Arabidopsis thaliana: one gene and its partner. The gene in region 1 interacts genetically with each later gene. Each region holds a gene or a part of one and is shown in the gene's direction. Other genes may lie near its edges.

Region 1 (7,652 bases):
TCAACAAGTCGGACACAACAAACGTTCATGCAAGCGTAAAGCAGTGCCAAAACCACCCAAGAAACCTCAAAGACGACCAAGGAAAAAACAGAAAACAATGGATGAAGAGAACCCTATCACTCAGCCAATACAATCTTCTCTTCAAAGTTAATGCTTGACAAGTCTTTACTTTAGAATATCTTGTCCCTCTGAAACGATTGTTTTTTTTGTGACAAATATTGTTGTGTTGCAACAGCTTCGATAGTTATGTTGGTTGGATTTATTTAAGTATGACTCTTTGGATTATTTTAAGTTGTTGTGTCTTTCTTTCAGCTTCTAAAATCCAAACTAATTAAGCAATTCAAAATCATTTAGAACGTTTTTTTGTAATAAATTCAAAATAGTTTTAAAGAACATCATGTGGTTTTTGCGCTAAATACAAATGTCTCGTTGTTTTTTTTTTTAGAAATTAATATCCCATTAATAATTAATTACTGTGGAGTTAAGTTTATTAACAGGTTTTAGTTCAGGGTTTGTTTTACTAAAAACATAGTTTAGGGTTTAAAATGGATCTGGCCAAAGTTAAGGGTTTTTTTCATTAAATTCCCTAATTTATATTCAAAACTTTCAAAACAAGTTAAAGGAAATAAAACCAATTAAGGTTAACCAAAAAAAACAACAGATTTCACGCATCTCACGCGCATAGTGACATTGTACATACTTGTCATGCATCGTCTCTTCCACATGGATACAAAAGATAGGCATACAACAACACCATCATCATGAAAATATGTACATGCACATACATACATACATACAACGTCTTAGGACTAGAGAGCAAAGAGGGTAGGGAAAATTTGATGCTATGTTTGGGTAGGCCACTGTCACAGAGCTTAAAGAGAAGTGCTTTCTTTCCCTAAGTTAGCAAATTACCCCATTTTGTCAAAATTCCGTTTCTTCTGACAACAACACTTACGTTTTACGAATATAAATAGTTGTAGCATGATTTATTTTTGTTACCAATAGATAAACATATTTATTCTTATCGATTGCCATTAGGACTAGGGATTCTGATAATAATTGATATGTCTTAAAATTTGCAGAGACAACAACTTTGCGTGTTGGTTTTCTCATCTGTTTGTGTTTAGCCTTAGTCTGAAATCTGAATGCATTTAAGTTTTTCAAAACTAATCACTTTCAATCCTTTTTAATTGTCAACATCTACTTGTCCTTTTAATCTAATCCAAGAATATTGAATACAGAAACATGTTTACACAAAGAAAATTAGGTGGTAATGATATGAATTAGAGAAGTGTAATCAAGATTCCATCTCATATTAAACCTATTTAAAAGAGTTGTAAGAAAAAATAATAAAACAAGTAATTATTTACTTATAACTATGCATCAAATATTACGAAACTTTTAAAATGAATTGTTAATCTAATTCAATCAATATTATAATTATCTATTTAACTAATAATATTTATATGGTGGCAACCAAAGAATATATATGGGTCCAACTGGTAATTTAGATGAATTGTAAAATTTTTCGGAATAGTTGCAAACTATAAAAAAGAGTTGTACGAGAAAGTTGTATAATAAAATTGAGAATAAAACTTTTTATAACGTTTTTGATAAAGATTTTATAAATGATAACTGTCAAAGTTGTACAAACTCTACCGCTTTGATAATGAGTTATCAAAGACATAAACTTTTATCCTAGTTAATCATTTTAACTTTTAGAATTTAAGCTTTGAATTAAAATTCAAGCTTAGCTTTGTATAAGAAAAAGTTTAAATATTTTTACTTTGCCTTAACAGTAAAAAGCTTTTAACCAAAAACATTGAATTCAACCTACTCTCCCAAAAATTTCACCTTTAATTTTTTTTGAAAACAATATTTACCAGTTTAGTGCATCTTGTTGGGTTGTTCCTTGTCCTTTCTCTCTCAGAAAGATCTTTACTTTTACTTTTTCAGTATTTTCCTCTCTCTTCTCTCTCTTCTCTCTCTTCTCTCTACTTAGCTGCCTCGCTTTTGCTCCTTTTACCTCTTTCCATCTTTCAATCTCCTTTGAGAGAGAGAGCAAATGAAAAAAACCCAAAAAACTCTTTTCTCCAACCATTACCATCTCATGAACACTCTCACAGGAGGCTCTCTCTTCTCAGAGAGCCTACCCATCTAATATTTCTTCATCTGAGTCTCTTTTACTTCTCTCAAAGTATCGATCTTTATTCTTCTTTTTGTAAACCCTCTCTCTCTCTCTGATTTCTACTGACCTGTTTGGAAGATATGATGGCTCATCACTCCATGGACGATAGAGACTCTCCTGATAAAGGATTTGATTCCGGCAAGTACGTTAGATACACGCCGGAACAAGTTGAAGCTCTTGAGAGAGTTTATGCTGAGTGTCCTAAACCTAGCTCTCTGAGAAGACAACAGCTTATTCGTGAATGTCCCATTCTCTGTAACATCGAGCCTCGACAGATCAAAGTTTGGTTCCAGAATCGCAGGTTATTATTTCTTTATTAATTGTCTTTAATGGAATGTTTTTTGTGTTCTTTGATTGTTTCTGTAATTATAAAATTGAATTTCTTTTGTTTGTATTTGGAGACAAAAATGTTCTTGTCTGACAATGTTTTTGGTAATCTTCTTGTTTTTGGTCTAATTGGTGATTGTTAAGCTTTTGAAACTTTCAGATCTATGTCTATAAATTTGTTTTTCTCTTTTTGCTTATTAGGCTTTTGTTGACACAGTTGAAAGTTAAAATCACAAGGAAAAGTGACAGCTAATCAAACTGTCTTTGATGAGCTTTAAAACGCCTCTCTCTTTTTTTCCTTCTGCAGAGAATATGTTGGAAATTACATTATCTTTTGTTCTTTATGTCATTCTGGTATCATTCTAAAGCAAAAAAGTGTGTGTTTCTTCTGTTCATTTTTCTATTATTTCAACACATTTATCATACTGCTATAGGTTTGTCTTTAACTTTTCTGGTTTCTTTTGGTTGTTTTGTTGACTTTTTAGATGTCGAGAGAAGCAGAGGAAAGAGTCAGCTCGTCTTCAGACAGTGAACAGGAAGCTGAGTGCTATGAACAAGCTTTTGATGGAAGAGAATGATCGTTTGCAGAAGCAAGTCTCCAACTTGGTTTATGAGAATGGATTCATGAAACATCGAATCCACACTGTAAGTCCTTGAATCCCTTTTGCTAAATGCATTGTTGAGTTGTTATCTTTGATGCTTGTATATGTATTTGTTCTTTAAGAGTTCTCTGTTGTTAGAGAGTGACTGGTGAAATCTCTGTGTTGTGTCTTAGGCTTCTGGGACGACCACAGACAACAGCTGTGAGTCTGTGGTCGTGAGTGGTCAGCAACGTCAGCAGCAAAACCCAACACATCAGCATCCTCAGCGTGATGTTAACAACCCAGCTAAGTAAGGAAGGCTCTTTTTTTGTTTGTGAATTTCTCATTGTGACATTATGAGAAGAGACTAAATGGAGTGTTTTTTTGGTAGTCTTCTCTCGATTGCGGAGGAGACCTTGGCGGAGTTCCTTTGCAAGGCTACAGGAACTGCTGTCGACTGGGTCCAGATGATTGGGATGAAGGTAGATAAGTTGAAGTATTTTAACGTTTTCATATGTGGAAATGAAGTGGTTTTTAGAAAATGTTTTAATATGTATTTTCATGGTTATGTATGTAGCCTGGTCCGGATTCTATTGGTATCGTAGCTGTTTCACGCAACTGCAGTGGAATAGCAGCACGTGCCTGTGGCCTCGTGAGTTTAGAACCCATGAAGGTAATGGTGTTTTCTTTTTATTTTAATCTTGTGTTGTAAGAAGCGGAAATTCTACGAAGGCAATCTAAACTTCAAATACTGTGTAGGTCGCTGAAATCCTCAAAGATCGTCCATCTTGGTTCCGTGACTGTCGATGTGTCGAGACTCTGAATGTTATACCCACTGGAAATGGTGGTACTATCGAGCTTGTCAACACTCAGGTCTGTTTCATAAATCCATGAGTGTTGTTTTTGTTCCTTTAAAATGTAATGATCATTATTCATGGTTGGTTATCAGATTTATGCTCCTACAACATTAGCAGCAGCTCGTGACTTTTGGACGCTGAGATATAGTACAAGTCTAGAAGATGGAAGCTATGTGGTGGGTATTAGGACCTGGTTTTGTTCATCTATGATTCTATTTATTAGATTTGCCTTATATTTGCTTTTTTGCCTTCAGGTCTGTGAGAGATCACTCACTTCTGCAACTGGTGGCCCCAATGGTCCACTTTCTTCAAGCTTCGTGAGAGCCAAAATGCTGTCAAGCGGGTTTCTTATCCGTCCTTGTGATGGTGGTGGTTCCATTATTCACATCGTTGATCATGTGGACTTGGATGTAAGCATATTGGATTTGTAATAGCACATTAGGTTTCGTAAAAGCCTTCTATTTATGTTGATTGATACGTTTTTTTGGTTTGGTAGGTCTCAAGTGTTCCTGAAGTCCTCAGGCCTCTTTATGAGTCTTCCAAAATCCTTGCTCAAAAAATGACTGTCGCTGTAAGTTCCATATAAACCTTATCCACCCGTGACCTGATTAGGCTCTCTTTATGAGTTTTACTTCCACATTTCAGGCTCTGAGACATGTGCGCCAAATTGCTCAAGAGACTAGTGGAGAAGTCCAGTATAGTGGTGGACGCCAGCCTGCAGTTTTAAGGACTTTCAGCCAGAGACTCTGCCGGTAATACATTTCCTTGATAAGCTTAGTTTTATTTTCTAAAGCATTGTTCTAATTGCTTTTCTTGAAATTCAGGGGTTTCAATGATGCTGTAAATGGTTTTGTCGATGATGGATGGTCTCCAATGAGTAGTGATGGAGGAGAGGATATTACGATCATGATTAACTCTTCCTCTGCTAAATTTGCTGGCTCCCAATACGGTAGCTCATTTCTTCCAAGTTTTGGAAGTGGTGTCCTCTGTGCCAAAGCTTCTATGCTGTTGCAGGTGCCTATATCATGTTTTGACACTTGTGAATAGACAAAAGAACCGGTTTCTTCAATTTCTGACATCATTCTCTTTTTTATCTGCTCTTGAAGAATGTTCCACCCCTTGTATTGATTCGGTTCCTGAGAGAACACCGAGCTGAATGGGCAGACTATGGTGTCGATGCCTATTCTGCTGCATCTCTCAGAGCAACTCCATATGCTGTTCCATGCGTCAGAACCGGTGGGTTCCCGAGTAACCAAGTCATTCTTCCTCTCGCACAGACACTCGAACATGAAGAGGTACAAAGAATCTCAAGAACATTTTCCTTGTTGTCTATTCTTTTGCCATGCCTATAATCCTATTTTGCTTACTTGTTTCTCAGTTTCTCGAAGTGGTTAGACTTGGAGGTCATGCTTACTCACCTGAAGACATGGGCTTATCCCGGGATATGTATTTACTGCAGGTTTGCTTTATACTAAAGACACTCAGGGATTCTTAAAGATGAGTTATTGAAATTGAATTCTTGGTTTCTTTTTTGCTTTTGTCCAGCTTTGTAGCGGCGTTGATGAAAATGTGGTTGGAGGTTGTGCTCAGCTTGTCTTTGCCCCAATCGATGAATCATTTGCTGATGATGCACCTTTGCTTCCTTCTGGTTTCCGTGTCATACCACTCGACCAAAAAACAAATCCGGTAAAAAGAAAACTGTTTATGATAAGAAATTTGATATCTTGAAATTGACACAGTCCTTTTTCTTTTATTCCTGTATGTAACGTTACAGAATGATCATCAATCTGCAAGTCGAACACGGGATCTAGCATCGTCCCTAGATGGTTCCACCAAAACCGATTCGGAAACAAACTCTAGATTGGTCTTAACAATAGCCTTCCAGTTCACGTTTGATAACCATTCCAGAGACAATGTTGCTACAATGGCGAGACAGTATGTGAGGAACGTTGTTGGTTCGATTCAGAGAGTGGCTCTAGCCATTACGCCTCGTCCTGGCTCAATGCAACTTCCCACTTCCCCTGAAGCTCTCACTCTTGTCCGTTGGATCACCCGTAGTTACAGGTACTCTTCTTAGAACCTTAATCTAAAGACTTGTAACAATATAGAATGTGCTTATCTCATTTAATAACTCAATAAAATGTTTTTCTCCGATGTTTTAGTATTCATACAGGTGCAGATCTGTTTGGAGCTGATTCTCAGTCCTGTGGAGGAGACACATTGCTTAAGCAACTCTGGGACCATAGTGATGCCATATTGTGCTGCTCCCTGAAAACTAATGTAAGAATTCTGTTTTTTTAAGAGGTGCTCAATCTAGTTTATGGTTCGGTTTGGGAATTGTCTGATTATTTTTTGGTTCTCAGGCCTCACCGGTATTCACATTTGCAAACCAAGCTGGTTTAGACATGCTTGAAACTACACTTGTGGCACTTCAGGATATAATGCTCGACAAAACACTTGATGACTCTGGTCGTAGAGCTCTTTGCTCCGAGTTCGCCAAGATCATGCAGCAGGTTAAACATTTTCTAGCTAGTCTTTTAAGTCTTTCCCTGGAAAATACTAAGTTTGGATTGAATCTTCTTCAGGGATATGCGAATCTTCCGGCAGGAATATGTGTGTCGAGCATGGGCAGACCGGTTTCGTATGAGCAAGCGACGGTGTGGAAAGTTGTTGATGACAACGAATCAAACCACTGCTTGGCTTTTACCCTCGTTAGTTGGTCGTTTGTTTGATGAAGGAAAAGGTTGGTTATGTTAGATATTAAAAGTTAGGGGATGTTGTTTTTGGCTAAGGTTTGTTGAATTAGAGAGTCCATAACTCTATATGTAATATGGAAAAATTCTGATGATAATCTCTTTAATCAATTATGACATTATGTATGGCAAGATATTTATTTTTATTTATGTTTTGGACTTGTTTCGTTTTTCTTCATCTTCCTTTTACGAAATTTGATATATATATATATATATATATATATATATATATATATATATAGATAGATATAAGATGAATTATTATTAGTAATCTTATAAGTTTTTATCATGTGTTAATGTACAAATATAAACACAAAGATTGGCCTCAAAAGCATGTCGAATAAACTAAATTAATCATCATAGTTTTTGGCAAAAAACGTTTAATGGACTTGGTAGCTCATATGTAACATGAAAAATGTATGCGGAGTTTAGGTTGTATGCATAAATAATAATCATCCAAAAGATTAGATTTGAATGAATCTTTGACATTAAATGATCAATAATCATTACTAGTATTTATCTATTAAATTGAAATAGTATCTATCACAAGAAAACTAGTCATGATGATGCTGTTCTTTGACTTCTAGGCTGGAGGAACCTATAAACTTTTCTTTTGGGTAGTCTAGTTAGTAATGGAAGTTGATAAATAGCTTTTCTTTTGGACAGAAACCTACAAAACTCTTATGGAAGTTTTATACCGACCAAAAATATGGAAGTTTTATTTATGTACAATCTCTTTTTATCATTTTTCAGCATAATTTAAAGAAAATGGTGGAATATTTTTATATAACCAATAACAGAATTTTTTAAGTCTAAGGACAGCTATTTTAATCCGCTGTCTACATGAGTTATGTAAATCGATCGAGGTTTTACCATTTACGGATGAATGATACACACCAACCATAATCAAACCGTAAAAACTATTGAAAACCAGAACTAGCTACTA
Region 2 (3,665 bases), 6.4 Mb from region 1:
TTTGTTTGGTTGAACTAAAGTCATGTTAAGTTTGATTCGTTTGGTTGTGAGATATGTAGATTGAGTACGGTTTGACTATAAATAATTGGTTCATTTCTTGCTTTCACTTAATTGATTAGGTTGGATATATAATTCACATGTCCAACCCTAATCGAAACCGAAGTATTTCAAGTTGATATTATGATAGATACACTAAAATTATCTCAGAACACGAGCTATCGTAATAATTTACTTTGTGACATCGGAAATCACAAAGACATTTGCATAGGACTGAGCTGGAAACCAAAAGTCTTTAGTTCCCAAAATTATGAAGAATTTCTCAAATTTTTAATAGAAAATAGATAAGTTCACCAATGAACTCTTTTGTTGTTTTTACCATATAGTAATAACTATACTTAACAATTATTATAGTATATATTAACTCAACCTACCCCCCCAGACAAAATCTTATATCAACCATGGATACTGTTAGTTTGGTAATAAAAGATCTTGCCTATGGTTTCACATAGAGTTGTAACATTTCAACATTAGACAAAATGTTATCAGTTTAAGTTCATATTATGACTATGCACATTTTAAATTAAAACATTTTAGTTTGCTTGTAAAATTACAGAATTAACGCAGGGGTTTTAATTGCTGCTTATTGTCTCATTCAGTCATTTGCCGACCAACCAACATAAATCTCAATATAATGAGTTCATGACGTCATGGTCATGGTAGATGGTTTTATAATAATACCTAAAAAATCTCAAATGATGGTAGTAATTAAACACATATGACGCAAACGCAGCCATTACAACGCTATTTCAAAACTTATTTAAACAATTAGTAATACTTACCAAAGCTTTTGAAAGATACTCCAGTAAACTTGTCAAATTCTTATATTGTTCTAATAGACTTTATAATAAAACGTAAGCATCGGGCGATATGGCATGATTATTTCATGACAGAAGAAATAAATAATTTTAACAAAAAAAAAGACAGAAGCAATAAATAAAAAACAAGCTTCTGATACATGAAATACATATATGTCTCATACATACGTTTAGACAAACCTGAAATGTCCTCTTCGTACAATAATATCCACAAGTGTCAGATTTACACTGAAGTGTTGCTATGCATATCTTTTGTTCCATACTTTTCTTACAAAATCATTTATTTTCTTCTCGATATCACCGATTGGTGTATGTTGTAATCATACATTAACATTAACAAACAAAGATACTTTTTCAAGGATTATTCTAATTGGCAGTTTTAGAAATAATGGAATTATCCTTTACTAATCATACAGAAATAATGTAAATATGTTTAGCATGTGTGAAATGACTGTTGGTCGATTTTTAACTTTAATAAATAAAAAAGCAATAAGAACGTGGTTTTATTTCGCCACTCCCACTTGCATCGTCATCATCAAAGAAAAACACTAATGTCTAGACCAAAGATTTAAAACATCTACCCCATATATATATGATGAACAAGATAGCAAGTAAATTTAAATGTAAAATTAAATTTTAGTTTGCTAAGATTAATATACAAAAGAAGTATTATCAATTTATCAGTTATTAATCAAATCAAGTTTTAAGTGCAACTCAAAAGTTTCCATGCTTATATAGTTATTTGTATACTACTATACTGTATGTGCAAGAAAAGCATTTATACTCTTCGCCATATATTTCAAACTTCACAAAATTTAATTAAATTTTTATACCATTTATGTACCTATAAATAGATAGAAGAAGCTCCATCTCTTTCAAACTATCAACCACCAAAATCTTTCACATTACACCTTCCTTTTGTCCTCAAACCAAAACCCTAGAAACCAAAAATGGAAAAAGCCTTGAGAAACTTCACCGAATCTACCCACTCACCAGACCCTAATCCTCTCACAAAATTCTTCACTGAACCTACAGCCTCACCTGTTAGCCGCAACCGCAAACTGTCTTCAAAAGATACCACTGTAACCATCGCCGGAGCTGGCAGCAGCACGACGAGGTACCGCGGCGTACGCCGGAGGCCGTGGGGACGATACGCGGCGGAGATACGTGACCCAATGTCGAAGGAGAGACGTTGGCTCGGAACATTTGACACGGCGGAACAAGCCGCTTGTGCTTACGACTCTGCGGCTCGTGCCTTTCGTGGAGCAAAGGCTCGTACTAATTTTACTTATCCGACAGCTGTCATTATGCCTGAACCAAGGTTTTCTTTTTCCAACAAGAAATCTTCGCCGTCTGCTCGTTGTCCTCTTCCTTCTCTACCGTTAGATTCCTCTACCCAAAACTTTTACGGTGCACCGGCAGCGCAGAGGATCTATAATACACAGTCTATCTTCTTACGCGACGCCTCGTGTTCCTCTCGTAAAACGACTCCGTATAATAACTCTTTCAACGGCTCATCATCTTCTTACTCAGCATCGAAAACGGCATGCGTTTCTTATTCCGAAAACGAAAACAACGAGTCGTTTTTCCCGGAAGAATCTTCTGATACTGGTCTATTACAAGAGGTCGTTCAAGAGTTCTTGAAGAAAAATCGCGGCGTTCCTCCTTCTCCACCAACACCACCGCCGGTGACTAGCCATCATGACAACTCTGGTTATTTCTCTAATCTCACTATATACTCTGAAAATATGGTTCAAGAGACTAAGGAGACTTTGTCGTCGAAACTAGATCGCTACGGGAATTTTCAAGCTAATGACGACGGCGTAAGAGCCGTCGCAGACGGTGGTTTATCGTTGGGATCAAACGAGTGGGGGTATCAAGAAATGTTGATGTACGGAACTCAGTTAGGCTGTACTTGCCGAAGATCGTGGGGATAGCTAGATATTCATCATGATTATGTTTTGAGTTTTGGTACTATCGACTTAGTTTAAAGTTGCTACCTTTCCCAATGTTGGATATTAACTAAATTATGTTTTAAGTTGAATTTGCTAATAGGATTTCATAATTATAATCAAGTTTATAATATATTTTCGTAGCTAATTAAAGTTTATATCCACGTATTCTGACACATTACGCGCTTAATGATTTAAGTTGTATCATAATTTATAATCACATGGTGGAACTTGTTAAGAAGTTACGTAACTCTTAAACAGCTTTAAGCCTCTAACATAGTCGTAATAGCAAGAAATAATATATATGATGAGAGATGAGTAAAATAGGAAAATTCCTTTGTTCAGCAATGTTGGTATCGACCTATTAAAAGTGAATCTGCAGATGAAAAAGTGATATCCTTACATTTATTTGTTTGTAGTCTGAAAAGTGGACTAACGTTCGTACAAAAGGCAGTGTTTGTCTCTGTCTTCTCCAACTTTTCGTGCTCTCTTCATTCTATCACCAAAGGAAAAGCTGAACTACTAAATAACAAAGGTCAAGAACTTTAATATTGATTGATGTCAAAAAAATTAGTAATAAGTACTGATTTTTTCACATGTTGATTAATAAGTACTGAATTTGCAGAAATAAACTAAAATATATGCTTTGACCAAAAAAAAAAAACTAAAATATATGCTTTTTCAAAAAAACTAAAACTAAAATATATGCAGAATGAGTTTAATTCATTGCGAATATATGATGAAATACAAAAAAAAAATTGCGTTTTTTTTTGTATCAACTGTACCCACTACTCATGTTCGCAATTCCGTATGTTTCGTGGTTATTGCGTTGATGTAA

What was found.
Region 2: of PHV (region 1) and ESR1, changing one enhances a phenotype caused by changing the other (phenotypic enhancement), as found in Arabidopsis thaliana (one study listed by BioGRID).

Annotation. Positions count from the first base shown.
Region 1 is NC_003070.9:10,795,361-10,803,012, reverse strand, and holds PHV (Homeobox-leucine zipper family protein / lipid-binding START domain-containing protein), read left to right. Parts: upstream 1-1,919; 5' UTR 1,920-2,268; coding exon 2,269-2,489; intron 2,490-3,000; coding exon 3,001-3,160; intron 3,161-3,290; coding exon 3,291-3,406; intron 3,407-3,487; coding exon 3,488-3,578; intron 3,579-3,673; coding exon 3,674-3,769; intron 3,770-3,855; coding exon 3,856-3,969; intron 3,970-4,045; coding exon 4,046-4,129; intron 4,130-4,207; coding exon 4,208-4,363; intron 4,364-4,449; coding exon 4,450-4,524; intron 4,525-4,598; coding exon 4,599-4,705; intron 4,706-4,777; coding exon 4,778-4,967; intron 4,968-5,059; coding exon 5,060-5,248; intron 5,249-5,331; coding exon 5,332-5,412; intron 5,413-5,498; coding exon 5,499-5,639; intron 5,640-5,727; coding exon 5,728-6,017; intron 6,018-6,115; coding exon 6,116-6,233; intron 6,234-6,316; coding exon 6,317-6,466; intron 6,467-6,538; coding exon 6,539-6,685; 3' UTR 6,686-6,889; downstream 6,890-7,652. UniProt on the Arabidopsis thaliana protein: Probable transcription factor involved in the determination of adaxial-abaxial polarity in ovule primordium. Specifies adaxial leaf fates. Binds to the DNA sequence 5'-GTAAT[GC]ATTAC-3'.
Region 2 is NC_003070.9:4,427,966-4,431,630, forward strand, and holds ESR1 (Integrase-type DNA-binding superfamily protein), read left to right. Parts: upstream 1-1,752; 5' UTR 1,753-1,825; coding exon 1,826-2,812; 3' UTR 2,813-3,000; downstream 3,001-3,665. UniProt on the Arabidopsis thaliana protein: Regulates gene expression patterns in meristems and thus modulates organ development. Required for correct embryo patterning and cotyledon organogenesis. Modulates auxin signaling pathway in early embryos.